Linked DNA regions of Oryctolagus cuniculus. The protein of the gene in region 1 purifies or fractionates together with the protein of each later gene. This does not show direct contact. Links are inferred from orthologs where the notes say so. Each region holds a gene or a part of one and is shown in the gene's direction. Other genes may lie near its edges.

Region 1 (4,616 bases):
CCGACAGCTGTGTGTCTGTCCACAGCGTGGCCTTTCTTCCGTACATGGACAGCGCCTTTGAGGAAGTATTCCGACTGCTGGAGGTGAGTGGGCTGCGGCAGTGGGGTCGGTGCAGAGGCTGGGGGGCCCATGTTGATGGTGCACACAGCGGTGTAACCCACCTCTCGTCCCAGTGTCCTCACCTGAACGTGCGCAAAGCAGCCCACGAGGCTCTGGGCCAGTTCTGCTGTGCGCTGCACAAGGCCTGTCAGAGGTGCCCATCAGAACCCAACACTGCTGGTGAGAACGGGAGGCTGGCGGGTGGGGGCCCTGGGGGAGACACAGGGCCTGACCGCCAGTAATGTCCCCAGCTCTGCAGGCTGCCCTGGCGCGGGTGGTGCCATCCTACATGCAGGCGGTGAGCAGGGAGCAGGAGCGCCAGGTGGTGATGGCTGTGCTGGAGGCCCTGACAGGGGTGCTGCGTGGCTGCGGGGCCCTCACGCTGCAGCCGCCCGGGCGCCTCGCCGAGCTCTGCACCACGCTCAAGGCCGTGCTGCAGAGGAAGGTGAGGCAGGCGGTGCGCTGCGGGGACAGGGCTGGGGCTGCTCAGAGCACTCAGGGCTGGGGAGGGCCTGGCTAAGCGGCTGCCCCTGCCCACAGACAGCCTGTCAGGACCCTGAGGAGGAGGAGGAAGAGGAGGAGGAGCAGGTGAGAACTCCAGGTGGTCCCCCAGGGGCTAGGTGGATGGTGCACTCTGCTTGGCCTGGGGAGCCAGGCTGCTAAAGTGATTGGTGATGGCCAGAGTGACAAAACCCTGACCCCACTCAGCCAGCAGGGCTCCAGGTAAGGAGGGCAGTGGGATGGGCTTGGAGGGGTAGGTGGGAGTGGGGGAGCGGAGGAAGGAGCTGGGCCAGTCCTGCCACTGGGCGGCTGCAGGATCACCTGTGGTCAGTGGCAGGGTGGGGAGACTGGCCTGGAGCTCCAGCCCCTGACCTGGCTCCGCAGGCTGAGTATGACGCCATGTTGCTAGAGCACGCTGGAGAGGCCATCCCTGCCCTGGCAGCCGCGGCGGGGGGAGATGCCTTTGCGCCCTTCTTTGCTGGCTTCTTGCCGTTGCTGCTCTGCAAGACAGTGAGTGCTCCATTCTGGCTTCAAACTGCAGTCCTCCCATGACTACCCCTCCGTGTGTCCCAGTCCCAAGGCTGATCTGCACTCCTCCCCACCCACCCCCGTCAGAAACAGGGCTGCTCGGTGGCCGAGAAGTCCTTTGCCGTCGGGACTCTGGCGGAGTCCATCCAGGGCCTGGGCTCGGCCTCAGCTCAGTTTGTGTCCCGGCTGCTGCCTGTGCTGATGAGCACCGCCCGGGAGGCAGACCCCGAGGTACGGAGCAACGCCATCTTTGGGCTCGGCGTGCTGGCAGAGCACGGGGGCCGCCCTGCTCAGGAGTATCCTTGGCTTGCCGAGCACACATTGAAGGTGTGGGAGTGTCCCCAGGGCTCAGGGATGGGTGAGGTCTGCGTGTGTGCCCATTCCTTGACTATGGATCAGACACTTCCCCAAGCTGCTGGGGCTCCTTTTACCCCTCCTGGCACGGGAGCGACAAGATCGTGTCCGGGACAACATCTGTGGAGCACTCGCCCGCCTGCTGATGGCCAGTCCCACGAGGAAACCAGAGCCTCAGGTAAGGGAGGGGCATCAAGGCCAGGGAGGGACGGGGAGGGCAGGGCAGGTGGCCTGAGGCTTCCGTGTGTCCAGGTGCTGGCTGCCCTGCTGCACGCCCTGCCACTGAAGGAGGACCTGGAGGAGTGGGTCACTATAGGCCACCTCTTCAGCTTCCTGTACCAGAGCAGCCCTGACCAGGTACTCGATGCTGGCGTCTTGGTACTAGGCGCAGGATGACAGTCTCAGTGTCCTTAGCCCTGTCTGGTTTGTCTGTGAGTAGTGGCAGCCTGTTCTGCGGAGGGAGAGGCGATGCTTCCTTCCTCTGAGTGTGTCTCCTTCAGCAGCTCCATTTCTACCCTCTGGTGGAAGCCACAAGTTGAAGCTTTCCTGGGCTGACTTCTAGACAGGGCTCACTGGGCTGCAGTTAGAAAGAGCCCTGGGCACCTCATGTATCTCAGCTCAAAGCACGTAGCTAGATTCGGCCAGATGTCCTGGTGTTGCTGTAGCACGCCTGTGGTACACCTGGAGACCACTGTGCTGGGAACGCCCTTGCTTTTGGAGGGCGGGGCGGGGTGAGATGTGTGACCACAGCGATGCTTAGCCACCTGCCCCATGGCTGCTTCTCTGTTGTTGCCTTTAGTGCCTGTGAGGCAGGCCCCAGCTCAAGCAGCCCTGGGGGACACTGCCTGTCCTTACAGGTCGTAGATGTGGCTCCTGAGCTCTTGCGCATCTGTAGCGTCACTCTGGCGGAAAACAAGATCCCACCAGGTGAGGGTGGCTGGCGAGGGGGTGGCGGGGCTCCAGAGCTTGGGGCAGCCAGGGCTTAGGGGCCTGGACCTCTCCCTCTGCACTGTCCACCCAGACACAAAGGCCGCGCTGCTGCTGCTCCTGACGTTCCTGGCCAAACAGCACATCGACAGCTTCCATACAGCCCTGGGCTCACTGCCAGCTGACAAGGCTCAGGAGCTCCAGGCCCTGCTGGGTTTCAGCTAGACTGCAGGCTGCAGCCAGGCCCGAAAGAACAGAGCCTGCCCAGGACCTAAGGTCACCTCTCAAGCCAGCTCCAGCTTGCACCTTACCAAAGAGTCGATCTCCTTTGAGTCAGCCGGCTTGCTGCCTTACAGGGGTGTCCCTGGAGCTGGATTTGTCACAAGTGGAGTCATGACATCATACCGTAATAAAGGCAGCTTGTTTTCTGCTTGGACAGAGGTATGTGTTCAGAAATGAAGCAGGCAGGGCCCAGTGAGGCAGAATATGGTTTAATGGAGCTAGTTTCCTGGCAGCTTTGTAAAATGGGCGTTACCCTCGGTAGAACCGGGGCCCTGGCTGGATCAGGAGGCGCCCGTACGGCTTCTTCTGTTCCACATGCAGTATCTGCTGCGCTGCGAGCACTGGTCAGGAGGGAGAAGAGGGCAGGCAGGAGTCCCCACATGGCCCTGTGCGGGGGGCTCACCACCCCGTGTGCACACACGGCCAGCACTCACCCAGGAGCAGGTAGAAGACCTGCGCAGCCACCCTGCGGGAGCTGAGCGGGGACACCAGGCTGCTGAAGTCAGGCTCCCGCTTGGCCCTCAGCTCCAGTGCCACTGCCCTGTAGGGATGGAGAAGGGTGAGCAAGGCCCCAGCCTGGCCCTCCCCACGGAGGCGCCCCCACCCCAGCACCTGTGCACAGCCTCCAGGGACAGCAGCTCAGGCTCTGGTGGCAGCTCGGAGGGCATCTCCAAGGGCACCTCTGGGAGCTCCGGCACCACCGGCAACGCCGGGGGCTCTGGCTGTTCCATCTCAGCCCAGGCCCTAGGGAGACATGGGAGTTGAGTGGAGCTGGAAGGCGGCGCTGTGGCTGGGATCAGGGCACGCCCATCCTAGCCGGTGGCTACACTGCAGGCTGGGCCTACACAGCCTGGCTTCTCACCAGCGTTCCTCTGGGGGGATGAGGCTGATCCGCGACTTCTCCTCCTCGGCGGGCTCCAGGGAGAGCTCTGTGGGGGCGGCAGGGGGCCCAGGGGAGTGTGACTGGCACTGAGCAGTCTGCCTTGGGGCACCCAGCCAGACCAGCTGTCTGTGCTGTGTGCTGCCTTGGGAAAAGCTGTGTTCTCTCTTATCAGCGCTTTCCCACAGGCTCGGGAAGCCCCCTCCGGGCGGGAGGACTGGAGAGTGCCCTGCGTTAGTTCACCCCAGTCCCTCACAGCTGGGCCACGGGCGGGCCCAGACCCCTCCCCCGAGCTTACCTGAAGACACCATGAGGGGACCGCTGGGCTCCTGGGCTTCCCTCAGGACCTGGAGACGGGAGGAGGAGAACTCAGACCCCGGCCTCACGAGCGTCCGGGGCCAGTGAGCCTGCAGCGTGCGCTGGGCGGGGGCGGAGGGGTGGGGTGTGGGTACCTCGATCTCACTGACAGCCTCAGCCCTTCTCTCCTCTTCCTCCACCTCCTCGGGCGGCCTTCGCCTGAGCGCTCTTGCGGGGGTCTGGGCACAGCGGGTCCACAAAGCCAGTAGTTCCAGGGGAAGCCGGCCGGCTGATGGGGAAGGGGCAGTGGCGACAGAGCCCTGTCACCAAGAGGGAGGACTCGGTCCTGAAGAGCCCTGCGCCCAACCCCCGCCCTCCTTACGGTACGTCGGGGTCCGGAGCAGCTCCGTGGGGCTTGTGATGGTCCTCTCCGGAGGCTGCACCATGGGCTGCGTGGTGGCAGGAGACAGGAGCCTCAGGAGCAAGCCACGCCTCGGCGCCCCTTCACCTACCTGTCCAGACTACAGCCTGCCTGCCCTGCTCGTGCTAAAGGACTACCGGGTGCCTGTGAATGTGCCAGGTGGGGCCGCGGACGCAGCACGGCAAGTTGTGGAGGTGCAAACCCACATCAGGTTCCCAGGCCCCGCCCCCAGCCCACACCTGTGCCCTCCCAGGGCCGCACTCACACACTCCCAGCAGTGGGCCCTGGTCTGCAGCTGTTCTTTGAATTTTTCCCTGGAGATCTGAG
Region 2 (5,865 bases), on another chromosome or scaffold:
CCGGGCGCCGGGACAGTCCCCCCAGGCCCTCGGCTGCTCCACGTCCGACCCAGCTCCCCGTGAATACGCCTGGGAAAGCAGTGGAAGACGGCCCAGGTGCCTGGGCCCCTGCCACACGGGAGCCCCAGCTTTAGACTCCGGCTGGAAAGGAGGCATTCCACACAGACCACAGAGCTCGCACAAAGCCTCAGGCCCTCAGCCTTCAGGGGGCGGGAAGACACCATCCGAGGGCCAGCCTTGGCCAGCCTTGCAAACAGGCCTGGTGTCAGGCCCGGGCTGCCAACATTTCTGTGAAATTGTACAACACAGCACACAATCCTGGATTTTTTTTTTAATATTTATTTATTTGGAAGTCAGAGTTACACAGAGAGAGGAGAGGCAGAGAGAGAGAGAGAGACAGAGAGAGAGAGGTCTTCCATCCGCTGGTTCACTCCCCAAATGGCTGCAACGCCTGGAAGTTGGGAGCTGGGAGCTTCCTCTGGGTCTCCCACGCGGGTGCAGGGGCCCAAGCACCTGGGCCATCTTCTCCTGCTTTCCCAGGCCACAGCAGGGAGCTGGATGGGAAGTGGGGCAGCCGGGACTCGAACCGGCGCCCATATAGGATGCCAGTGTTTCAGGTGGCGGCTTTACCCACTGCGCCACAGCGCCGGCCCCAGAGGGAGCACAAGGCCCTGCAGCAGGAGGGAGCCCGGGGGTGGGCAGGGGCAGGGCGGGGAGGGTGACAGGCGCGAGACGGGGCCTCGGGGCCCACTGCAGAGATCTCGGTTCCCCGCTAAGCAGGATACGCCTCTGGGGCTTGGCGCTGGGATCTGGGGTTCAGCGACAATCACGCAGCCAGCTCCTCTTCCTCCCAGCATCGGAGACGGAGTCCCCGGTACGGCCTTCCCCGGGGTCGGGAACGGACGGCGCAAAAAAAAAAAAAAAAAAAAAAAATTCACCAAGGTGAGAATAAATAAATGTTTAGTTAAACGCCTAGAAAACATCGTGCTAAGAACTCTGCTCGGGGTGGAATTCGGATGCACCATAACACATTTGGAAATACGATCGCCTAGGCCCTGGCCCCGCAGCCGTCCGGTCCCTGACTGGGCGGGAGCGGGACCCGAACCGCCACTCCCCAGGCCGGGACTCCGCGTCCGCTCACCGCAGACCCCCCAGGCCGCGCACGGCCTCAGCAGCCGGAGCCCCCGGCCCGAAACGCCCACCTGCACACACGCACCGGCATCCCCGCCGCGCCTCCTCCACCGCGCCGGCCCCCGACTTCCGCTCCTCTCCCGCGAATCCTCAGACACGCCTTCCTCTGCTCCCGCCCCCACAGCCACCTCAGCCAATTAGGTCTCCAAAAGCCTGCTTTATCCCCGCCCCACTCCTGCCTGCCAATCACGGCGGCCGCGAGTACCCGCCCTTCCCACGCTCTTAAGCGAGCGCCGCGCGCCACCGCTCGGCCGTTGGCGGTGCTGCTCCCTCAAGGATGCGTCTCTCGGAAAAGCTGCGAGAAGGGGCGGGCCCCGCCTGTGCGGGAACCCTCAGGATTGGCCGAGAGCCGGGCTCTGACTCCGCCCATCCCCGCCCCCGCCATCCGAGTCGGAGACGCTGGGGATTGGTTCCCCGCGGCCACCCCGCGAGAAGCCCACAGCTGGTCCCGCCTCCCTCGCGCGCGTGCGGAGAGGGAGCTCCGCGGATTGGTTTGAGGAGTCCGGGCGCGCGCCAGCGGCGCTCGCGGATTGGCTGACGGGGCGCTCGCGCCGCCGCGGAGCGTTTGCGGTGATTGGCTAGAGGGCGGAGCCGGCGATTTGAAGGCGGCGCGCGGACGCGGTGCGCGTTGCAGTCCGCGGCGAGAGGAGGCGGGAGCGGCCGCCGGTGACGCTGCCCCTCTGCCCGCTCCCCCGACCCCGGCTCCCGGCGACACGATGGCCAAGGTGTCCGTGCTGAACGTGTCGGTGCTGGAGAACCCGAGCCCTTTCCACAGCCCCTTCCGGTTCGAGATCAGCTTCGAGTGCAGTGAGGCCCTGGCGGACGGTGAGGCTGGACCCGTGCGGAGACCCCCACCCCAGCCCTGGGCCGACCCTGACCCCGACCTCCCCGTGGAGAGCCGCCCCGTGGCCAGGCCGAAGCCCCCCGGGGCCCCCTCCCTCCGTCCGCTTAGCCCCCCCCGCTCCCCCATCGCCCCCTCCCAAACCCCAGGACCCCCCTCTCTTGCAATGGCGCTCCTCCCAGGCACCGCTTCCTAATGATAGAGGCGCATCCACCGGCGGAGACCCCCACGCCCCCTGCCTCTTCCCCACCCCTGCCGCCCTCCTCGCCCCCGTGTCCGCCCCAGCCGTGCCCTGCCCAGTGTTTAAATGACCGCGTCCGGGGGTCATTGCGACCCCCGGGGTGGCGGTGGAGGGGCGTCCCGGCTCCCGAGGCTTCCCGGTCCGACCGTGGGCCTGGGTGGGCGGTGGGCGCGCCCCGGACCGGCTTCCCGCGGCTTCCCTATCCCGACGCCGTCCGGTGGGCGGTGGGCGCGCCCGGGGCCCGCGGCGGGGTGGTGGTCGTGGCGCACGGGAGGGCACAGCAGCCACCCGGAGCCCCGGGCCCTGCGCACGCCGGGGTCAGCCGGGGCCAAGGCCTGCGTGCACCCAGCGCTCAGCTCCAGGGCGGAGCCGGGGAGGCCGCTGGGTGGCAGGGGGGTGGCCCGCGGGGCGGCCGCCGCCTGTGGCTGACTGTGGAGTAAGCCGGCTGGAGGCTCTCTGGGACACGCAGGGCGGAAATAAAAGTGTAAGCTGGCGGGGGTTGAGACTCGCTTTAAAGGCCGGCAGGAGAGGCGAGGGGCCCCTCGTCTGAGTTCCCAGGTGACGCGGGTGGGGTGCCGTAGGCCTGCTTTAAAAGCAGGCGCTATCTGAGAAGTGGGTGCCTGCGACGCCCCGGGCCCTGCGGCCCAGGAGCCAAGCCCCCGCCTTGACCCCCTGCGCGTCCCGGGCGGGGGGCGGGGCGTCGCTGGGGCCGTGATGTCTGGGGACAGGAGCCTGGGCAACCCTGGTGTGGGGCGCCTCTGAGTTCCTTCTTCCTCTCCCAGCCCCCAGTCGGGGGCCCCCTGACTCCCAGGGGCCGCACGGAGTACATCAGGGGTGCGTGTGCTTGCGGGGAGCGGGGGAGCCCCTCAGGGAGCTGAAACAGCAGGCGCCCCGCGAGGCCAAGGCCACGGGCAGTACGGCTCGAAGACTGCGGCTCCGGACCGCCTGGTCACCGGATCGCAGCGCCGCTTCGGCTGGAGTCCTGGACGCGCAGCTTCCGACCCAGCTTCCTGCTGCTGCGCGCTGTTGTGCGCCCCTGCCGCCCACGCGGGAGACCCACGGGGAGTTCCAGGCGCCTGGCTGTGGCCTGGCCCACCTCCAGCTGTTGGCATTTGGGGAGTGGACCAGCGGGTAGAAGATCCTGCTCTTTCTGCCCCCCACCCCCCCATCGCCTGCCTTTGTCTCTCTCCTCTGTCACTCCCAGATAAATACAAATGGGAAACAGATTCTTCAACGACAATGATTTCTTGTTTAAATATTTGTTTCATTATTTATTTGAAAAGTAGAGTTACAGAGAGAGAGATAGGTCTTCTGTCCATTGGTTCACTCCCCAGATGGCTGCAACGGCTGGAGCTTCACAGATCCAAAGCCAGGAGCCAGGAGCTCCATCCAGGTCTCCCACTCAGGTGCCGGGGCCCAAGCACTTGGGCCATCTTCCACTGCTTTCCCAGGCCATAGCATAGAGCTGGATCGGAAGTGGAACAGCCGGGACTCGAACTTGCACCCATATGGGATGCCGGCACTGCAGACCCGGGCTTTAACCCACTGTGCCACAGCACCGGCCATCACTTTCTTAACGTGTGTTTAATCATAGCATTGGCTTTGCATTTGTTGTCATACGGAGTAGAGGTGTATCCTGTGCGGGGTTCAGCCTGTAAAATTGGGGATCAGAACAAAATGTAATTGACGTGCCTTTAATCGTGTTCAGAAGTTAGATAGACTGTGTGTATACAGTTATGTCCTGTATTTGGTAGGTATTTTTTTAAGAACTTATTTTATTTGAAAGGCAGAGCTACAGAGAGATCTTCCATCTGCTGGTTCACTCCCCAGATGACCACACGGCCAAGGTTGAGCCAGGCCAAAGCCAGGAGCTCCATCCAGGTCTCCCACGTGGGTGCAAGGGCCCAAACCCTTGGCCATCCGCTGCTGCTATCCCAGGTACATTAGCAGGGAGCCGGATCAGAAGTGGAGCAGCTGGAACTCAAACCAGTGCCCCTGTGGGATGCCAGTGGTGCAGGCAGTGCCTCAACCTGCTAGGCCACAGCACTGGCCCTTATGCGTTTTTATATTTTTTTTAATGGTTGATTTCTTCTACTTGAAAGGCACAGAGGCAGAGAGAAGGGAGTTCTTCCATCAGCATTTACTCAAAAGATAGAGTTACAGAGAGGGAGAGTGACAGAGAGAGATCTTCCATCTGCTGTTTCACTCCCCAAATGGCTGCAACGGCTGGAGCTGTGCTGATCTGAAACCAGGAGCCAGGAGCTTCTTCCTGGTCTCCCATGTGGGTGCAGGGGCCCAAGGACTTGGACCATCCTCCACTGCTTTCCCAGGCCACAGCAGAGAGCTGGATTGGAAGTGGAGCAGCCGGGACTCAAACTGGCGACCATATGGGATGCCAGCACTGCAGGCGGTGGCTTCACCCGCTACGTCATAGTGCTGGCCCTGAATTGGTGATTGATATCCCATGTCCAGTGCTGGTTTGTTTTGTTTTGTTTTGAGCGAGAGATGGAGAGGTCTCCCATCTGTTGGTTCACTCTCCAAATGGCTGCAACAGCTGGGACTGGGCGCTGCATCCAGGTCGCCCGCGTGGGTGGTAGGGACCCCATTACTGGAGCCATCACCACTGTCTCCCAGGGTGCGTGTAGGCGGGGAGTGGAATCAGGAGCCCCACCCACTGTACCAGGTCTCCCCACCCTCCATATCTGACCCCAAAGGTTTGCACACCTTCGCCTTCTGTATCTGTTAGACCCCCCAAGGACATCCAAGTCCTCAGTCCCTTTTATAAACTGGCACAGGCGCGCGGGCGGGCGTCACAGTGCCGGGCGTCACAGTGCCGGGCTGACTCCTGGCTCCTCTGCTTCCACTCCAGTGCGCCTGGGAGGCAGCACTTGGGCCCCTGGCACCTATGTGGGCGCCCCCTTGGGGTCCTGGCCCCCTGGCTCCTGGCCTCAGCCTGGCCCAGCCCTGGCTGGTGAAGCATCCGTGGAGCGAACCAGCAGTTGGAAGATGTCCACCCCCGCCCCCACCTTCGATTTGCCTTCCAGATAAGTAAGGCGTGGTATTTACACACAGCCTGTGCACGGTCTTCAGATCTCTTCTCAGTTCCTTGAAGTCCCTAACACAGGGAAAACACTGTGCAACTAGGTGTATTGTGTAGAGAACAATGACGTGGGGTTTTTTGCCCTCACATGTTTTCCTCCATGGTTGGTGAGACGCACAGATAGGGCTGGCCAGCCGTGCCCAACCTGGAGTCACAGGCGTACGTCCCTGCTGTCAGCTCAACCTGTGCGCCCTCGGCTCCAGCATCTTCTGTCTTTCCCAGTGGTTTCAGCTGTTCCTCAACCTTTTTTTTTCTCTCTTTTTCTTTTTTTTTCATTTATTTTTTTTTTTTTTTTTATTTACAGTCAGAGTTAGACAGTAAGAGAGAGAGAGACAGAGAGAAAGGTCTTTTTTCCGTTGATTCACCCCCCAAGTGGCTGCTACGGCCGGTGCTGCGCCGATCTGAAGCCAGGAGCCAGGTGCTTCTCCTGGTCTCCCGTGGGGTGCAGGGCCCAAGTACTTGGGCCATCCTCCACTGCACTCCCAGGCCACA
Region 3 (5,831 bases), on another chromosome or scaffold:
ACTGTGTCTGTTACCACACAATGACTTTCACTTTAATGAACAGAAACAACAGGGTTCAAGAAACTTTCGGTAGGTTCTACCTAACTGCTGAATTATTAAAAAAAAAAAAAATCTGACTCCTCTCCCCCAACTACTTTTCTTGAATGTGGGCAGGCCTAATATTAACTGTCCCAAGTTCATTCCAAAGACTATCAGATGAAGCTGTCCCACCATAAGCAACGTACCTTAAATATGAACCATGCTAAGAATGACAAATCAAAATTCTGGGCACTATGCTGAGAGGAAGCCCTTATAGCATCAATGATACTTAGGAAATAACTCAATGACAAAGTAATTTTCAGTCTGGATTGAGTCATTTGGGCGTTTGGGGGTTTCAATCTCAACACTTAAATAAAAAATAATAGCTAGGAACTGCACGGAATGAAACAAACCTTTTTCCACCCTTACTCAGTAGACTCCAAGCTCAAGAGCATGATAAAAGCTCCCCCATTTCCCCACAAGGGTAGGCAAACAGATAAAGCTATTCACATGTCCTCATTTCAGACCTCAGAATCTGTCCAGCCAAGAATTATGTCCAACGGCTTAGGTCATAAACTGTTGAAGATGAAAAGTAGTGATATTCCTTCCTGTTTTTTTCCCTTCTCTACTGTGCCGCCCTTTTGGTTTCCCGACTCTTCCATTTTCTCCTTTTATGTTCCTGCTATGCTCCCCAAACAACACAAGCCTGAGGTGTAACTGATCACCTCTCCTGTAATTTTTCTTTTTCTTTCTAGAGCTATGGAATGGGCAGAAGATAACCAGGTGCAGCCCAAGATTACCCACTTAAATTTACCGAGCAAAGTGTGTAAAATCATCTCCTCTCCTTTCATTTTGTGTCTACTTAAGTAACGGCGCTGTCGTGCCCAAGCGTAGATACTAGCCAAGAACTAGATTTCCAAAATGGCTTTGCTCCTTTCGAGCTGACATCGGCCTATAAAATGCAATTTATTTCCACTGCAACCAACCCTTTTCTCAACTCCAAATACCACCCAACTCACAGCTGAATCTAACCTGGTGTAGACGACTGCATCTTATCTGATAAAACTGAGCAGAGTCAACAAAGCCTTTTGCACTGATGTATAGGAGTGCTTAAAAAAAAAAAAAAAAAAAAAAAAAAACCCACGCCACCCAAAAACCAGACAGCAGCAAACCCAGGGGGCGGGCGTCGCCGCGCTCGCGCCTCCCCGCCGCGGCCACGCCCCCCGTCCCCGCCGCGGCCACGCCCGACGTGAGGCGCGGGAGTCGCCGGGCCGGGGGCGGGGCCTGCGCGCCCCTCCCCCCGCCGCCGGCGGCGGCCTCCGCGCGGGCCTCCCAGCCCGTATTCCACTCACTTTGTTCTCCGCCTTTGTCCTAATCCACACCAGCAGGTGGAGCCGCAGTTAAAGTTTCCGAGTCCATTCCGGGAGCGGGAGCCCATCTTGCTCGCAGCCGAGGCCCTCGCTGGAGGAGGAGGGTCAGAGCTCGGGTGCAGCCAATCGCGAGCAACGCTGCTAGTTATCAGAGCAGAATGGGCTGTAGTTTAGTGAAATAGGAAAGCTGCAAAACACTGTGGAGTGCTCTCGTGTAAATAAAAAGAGGAAAAAAAAAGTTTCTCAAGTCGCCGCTGCACGACGTCGGGCCGGCGCCGGGGCGGGGGTCTGCGCTCTGCCGAGCGGCCGCGGGCTGGACTTTATTGTGCCGCAACAAGCCCCCGCTCCCATTGTTTGTGTTTTTTTCAAAATATGGCAAAGGTTCAGGTGAACAATGTAGTGGTGCTGGATAACCCTTCTCCTTTCTACAACCCGTTCCAGTTCGAGATCACCTTCGAGTGCATCGAGGACCTGTCTGAAGGTGAGTCGCGCCGCCCGCCCGCCCGGGCTGTCAGTTGCGGGCTGCAGACGTTGAAAGTTTCCCGGGCCCGGCCTCGCGCGGGGCGGCCGCCCTCGGCGCCCGGCGGGCTGCGGGCTCGGCTCTGCGGAGGGAAACTTGAAGTTGATGGACGACGGCCGGCCAGGCGCGCGCGGCTTCCAGCCGCAGCCCAGGCGCCTGCCGCGGCTCAACTTGCGAGGAACTTGTTCGAGCGGAGGTAGCCATGTTGTCAGCTTTGTCTGGCGGGCGGGCGTTTCGCGGGACCCGCACTCGCGCCCGCGGCGCCGGCCGGGAGGTCGCGCCGGGCTGGCTCCGCGGTACGAACCGCCCCCGCGCCCCCCGGCCGCCGCGTGGAGGTGGGCAGGGGCAGGCGCGCGCGCGTGGGGTCGCGCCGGCGAGTTCGGAGCGGAGCCATCTTACCCCGAGTTGAGAATTGGGCCGGCGACCCCGGCGTCACGACGCCTCCTCGCGCCCCGCGGCGGTGACGGACGCGGCGCGGCGCCGGCCCACCTGCCTGCCCCCCCACCCACAGCCGGAGGCAAACCCGTGTTTGCAGCTCACGGCCGAGTTGCCCCTCTCCGCCGGCTGGTCGTGCCCAGCCGCACCGGGGAGGGCAGCGAGGCTGTCCTCGCGCTGATTCCTGGCTCCCTCGACCAACCAGCAGGGGAGGCGGGCGCAGGCTCGGCCCCTCCGCGCCGCGGGCTCCCCGGGGGCCGCGGGCCCTCCCCGGCTCTCCTGCTGGGGATGCTCGGGGCGCCTGGGGATGCTGGCGCGCAGGCTCCGGGACCGGCGTGGACTCCTCTTCCTCATTGACGAAAACCTCTCTCCTCTCTCAGGGAGGAAAATATTGCTATGCTGGAAAGTTACATTTAAACCCGAGTAAACATGAATGAGATCCTTAAAAAATTTTCCAAGATTTAACCATGCTGCTAAATAGTCTGAACGAAGACTTTATTCAAGAATCTAATTAAAACTCCACATTCAAATACAGAATATACCCTAACATATCACACAACGTGGGCTAAGAAATAAAAAGTAAAATCTTGATGGCAAATGCAATTTTTTTAGTATTTCTTAAGGTCTTCAAAAATAGACAAACGTTTTTAATTCGTGCAGTAATAAAGTGTTTAGAAAGCCAGAACTTGGTAATTTCTGAGCTTTGCTTTTTTCAGATTTTATTAAAATAGTCCAGTGCTTCATTTTCAAAATTTGAGGGGAAAAAAATTTAACTTTATCAGTGTAAATTTTACAATTAAATAGGGAGACATACTTGAATTTACAAATGTATTTGACAAAGTATATTTAAAATTATTAGGATAATCATGTAAAGCATTTTCATTTTAAAAATTAGTTTTTAGTCTGAAGTGTATTTTAGTGGTGTATTAACATTCATTATAAAAACAATATATGCTCACTGTAAAACTTTTAAAAGTTGTGCAGACATAAAGTAACAGTCCCTGCTCATTGCCTTCCTCCATTTCACTCCCTAAACTTAACATTATAATATGTGCCTTTCTGTTTTAATAACATGTAAAGCATAAGTGCACATAAATTTTATGTGTAGGGTGTAGTCAGAAAGATGACTCACTTATTAAACTAATCTCTACCTAGGTCATTGATAATCAAATTAAAGGGCATTTTTTCTTATTCTGAAGCCATCTGATTACTCTCTCTTAGCACTACTATACCATGTAACCATCTCAGCCAGGAGGCCCATTTTCCAGTCCCCATAATCAGTATTTTTTTTTTTTACTGCTAATTGCATATGAAAACAGGCAAATAAGAACCTATGCTACAATGTTTTAGGCATCAGAAGATCTTCAAACTACAGATACTTCTGAAGTGATGCCTTCCATTTTAGGATCAACCCAGAACAAGACAGATACCAAGATGCTGTTAGAGGACTTTTATATTGGGTAGCGGAAACCTTCCATTCATAGTAGCCAAACTATATTCTATCTTTAATTGGTATCCCAAACCCAGCTCGGTCGCATTGAGCTTTTTACAATAATAATGTCAAGAATACACCTACTTCCACTGGTACCCCACACTTCAAGGGTACCATTAATGGGCATTTATTTAGTATTTTATAAAAAAAATTTAAGCTGAGTCATACTGAAGCTGCAAAGGAATCTTTCAAAAAGGTGCCATGCCTATGTACTCCACCTAGAGGCTGTGTGGATTAAGGAAATAGTTAGCAATGGCTCTTCATAGGCTCCATAATTTTATATTGTACTTCTTTTATTAAAAATCATTTCCTGAAATTAAAGTACAGAATATTCTTAAGAAAATTTTTCACTTTATAAGCTGTTTATCCAAGTCCCAAACCAGAGTTCAGCCACTATTTTTTTCCCCACTTTTCTTTAAAAGCTGCCCTTGCAGCTTTGCTTTCATAAAAAGCCTTCTGTAGTATTTGCTCTTAAGATAATTTGGATGTTTCTAACATCCTCCTTGAAAAACCAGGTGTCAAGATTTAAGCACAAGCTTTCCTGTGCTTGATCTGATGGTCATCAGGCCTACACAAGTTTTGACTGACCTCCCTTCAAGCAAACTTTCAAGTTTACTACATATGTCCAACTTATAGCTACTGTTGGCAAAATTCTTACAATGTACCAGAATTAAGCACAGTGCTTCATATTTTCAAATTTCAGGCTTACTCTAATTCCAAAGACTGCATTCTTCCCACTAGACCATAGGTCTTCTCAAGGAATGTAATTAGCTTAAAATCTCCTTGTTAACTTCTCTCACTCCCCCCACATGAGGAGATACTTTCAGGGAAGGGTTATCATGATTAAATGAAACAATTAGTTAACTTCCAACAAATGAATAAACTACTTCAGCTGAAAGCCTAGGGAAAATTTTGACCTTATCTCTTCCTCCTTCCAATATAGGAGGCAGGGAAATGAAAACTAAGCTTTAAAAAAAAAAAAAAAAGATGCTAATTTTAAAAAGCACCAAACATTTGAAAGTAGCTAAAGCAAACTTCTCATGAGATTAAAAATCAGTGTCCAGGCCTTCCTTCAGTTGCATCTTGTACTTGTTAGGGCTTGATTATTTCCCCATTCCTCTGTTCTCTATCTCCCACTCCCCTTACAGTTAAGTCCCTAATTCTATTACTAATTTGAGAGCAAGGGGAGATTTATCTTTACATTTTTTAAAAAGATTAATTTATTTGTGAGGCAGAATTACAGAAAGGTCTTCCATCTGCTGGTTCTCTTCCCCAAATGGCCGCCAATGGCCATAGCTTTGCCAATCTGAAGCCAGGAGCCAGGAACTTCCTCCGGGTCTCCCACACCGGTGCAGGGGCCCCCCACACCGGTGCAGAGGCCCCCCACACCGGTGCAGAGGCCCAACCTCTTGGGCCATCTTCTGCTTTCCCAGGTCATAGCAGAGAGCTGGATGGGAAGAGGTGCAGCCAGGACAAGAACTAGCACCCATAAGAGATGCTGGCACTGCAGGTGGAGGCTTAGCCCACTACGCTACAGCACTGGCCCCTATCTTATTTTTTTAGTTGGAGAGACAGAGCCTGATTCTTTAATGTACAAATTGTGAAATCTGGGTAGGTTACTTAAACTCTGAGTCTCAGTTTTCTGTTTGCATAATAGGGATGATATGATATGATACGATATGATAAAGTTGTGGAGGTTTAAATAACAGGTATGACGTGGCAGGATCAATGTGCAGCACACAGTAGGTATTTTATAAAAGTAAGTTTACAAATTATAGCCATGTTCCTATGCCAGACACAAATGTCAATTTAACTCATACCAATTAGTACAAGAGCATTATATGTAGTGGTACAAATAAACCTTCAAATGACAATTCTCAGTCTTATCCTTCTGTGGCTAGTTTAGTAGCTTTCAGACTCCTTTTTTAAAAACAATTTTTTTCTTTAACCATTTATTTATTTGTTTGAAAGGCAGAGTAAAGGAGGGGGAGAGGGA

The links. Proteins that work in one complex are often made in the same cells at the same time.
Region 2: the proteins of IPO4 (region 1) and ASF1B purify together in Homo sapiens (affinity purification with mass spectrometry; 5 studies listed by BioGRID and IntAct, counting the BioPlex papers as one, with this or other methods). This does not show direct contact. The link is inferred for Oryctolagus cuniculus from reciprocal best matches to the Homo sapiens genes IPO4 and ASF1B.
Region 3: the proteins of IPO4 (region 1) and ASF1A purify together in Homo sapiens (affinity purification with mass spectrometry; 4 studies listed by BioGRID and IntAct, counting the BioPlex papers as one, with this or other methods). This does not show direct contact. The link is inferred for Oryctolagus cuniculus from reciprocal best matches to the Homo sapiens genes IPO4 and ASF1A.

The regions. Positions count from the first base shown.
Region 1 is NC_091443.1:51,019,897-51,024,512, forward strand, and holds the end of IPO4 (importin-4), read left to right. Parts: intron 1-25; coding exon 26-83; intron 84-173; coding exon 174-279; intron 280-350; coding exon 351-544; intron 545-639; coding exon 640-687; intron 688-984; coding exon 985-1,110; intron 1,111-1,215; coding exon 1,216-1,424; intron 1,425-1,527; coding exon 1,528-1,660; intron 1,661-1,734; coding exon 1,735-1,839; intron 1,840-2,281; exon of another isoform or gene 2,282-2,339; coding exon 2,340-2,409; intron 2,410-2,503; coding exon 2,504-2,634; 3' UTR 2,635-2,845; downstream 2,846-4,616. Other genes in the region: meiotic recombination protein REC8 homolog, read right to left, coding at 2,941-3,032, 3,126-3,232, 3,304-3,435, 3,554-3,620, 3,870-3,918, 4,024-4,157, 4,251-4,317, 4,555-4,616. UniProt on the Homo sapiens protein: Nuclear transport receptor that mediates nuclear import of proteins, such as histones, RPS3A, TNP2 and VDR. Serves as receptor for nuclear localization signals (NLS) in cargo substrates.
Region 2 is NC_091447.1:62,992,889-62,998,753, reverse strand, and holds the start of ASF1B (histone chaperone ASF1B), read left to right. Parts: upstream 1-1,794; 5' UTR 1,795-1,907; coding exon 1,908-2,016; intron 2,017-5,865. UniProt on the Homo sapiens protein: Histone chaperone that facilitates histone deposition and histone exchange and removal during nucleosome assembly and disassembly. Cooperates with chromatin assembly factor 1 (CAF-1) to promote replication-dependent chromatin assembly.
Region 3 is NC_091436.1:51,470,624-51,476,454, reverse strand, and holds the start of ASF1A (histone chaperone ASF1A), read left to right. Parts: upstream 1-1,760; coding exon 1,761-1,869; intron 1,870-5,831. UniProt on the Homo sapiens protein: Histone chaperone that facilitates histone deposition and histone exchange and removal during nucleosome assembly and disassembly.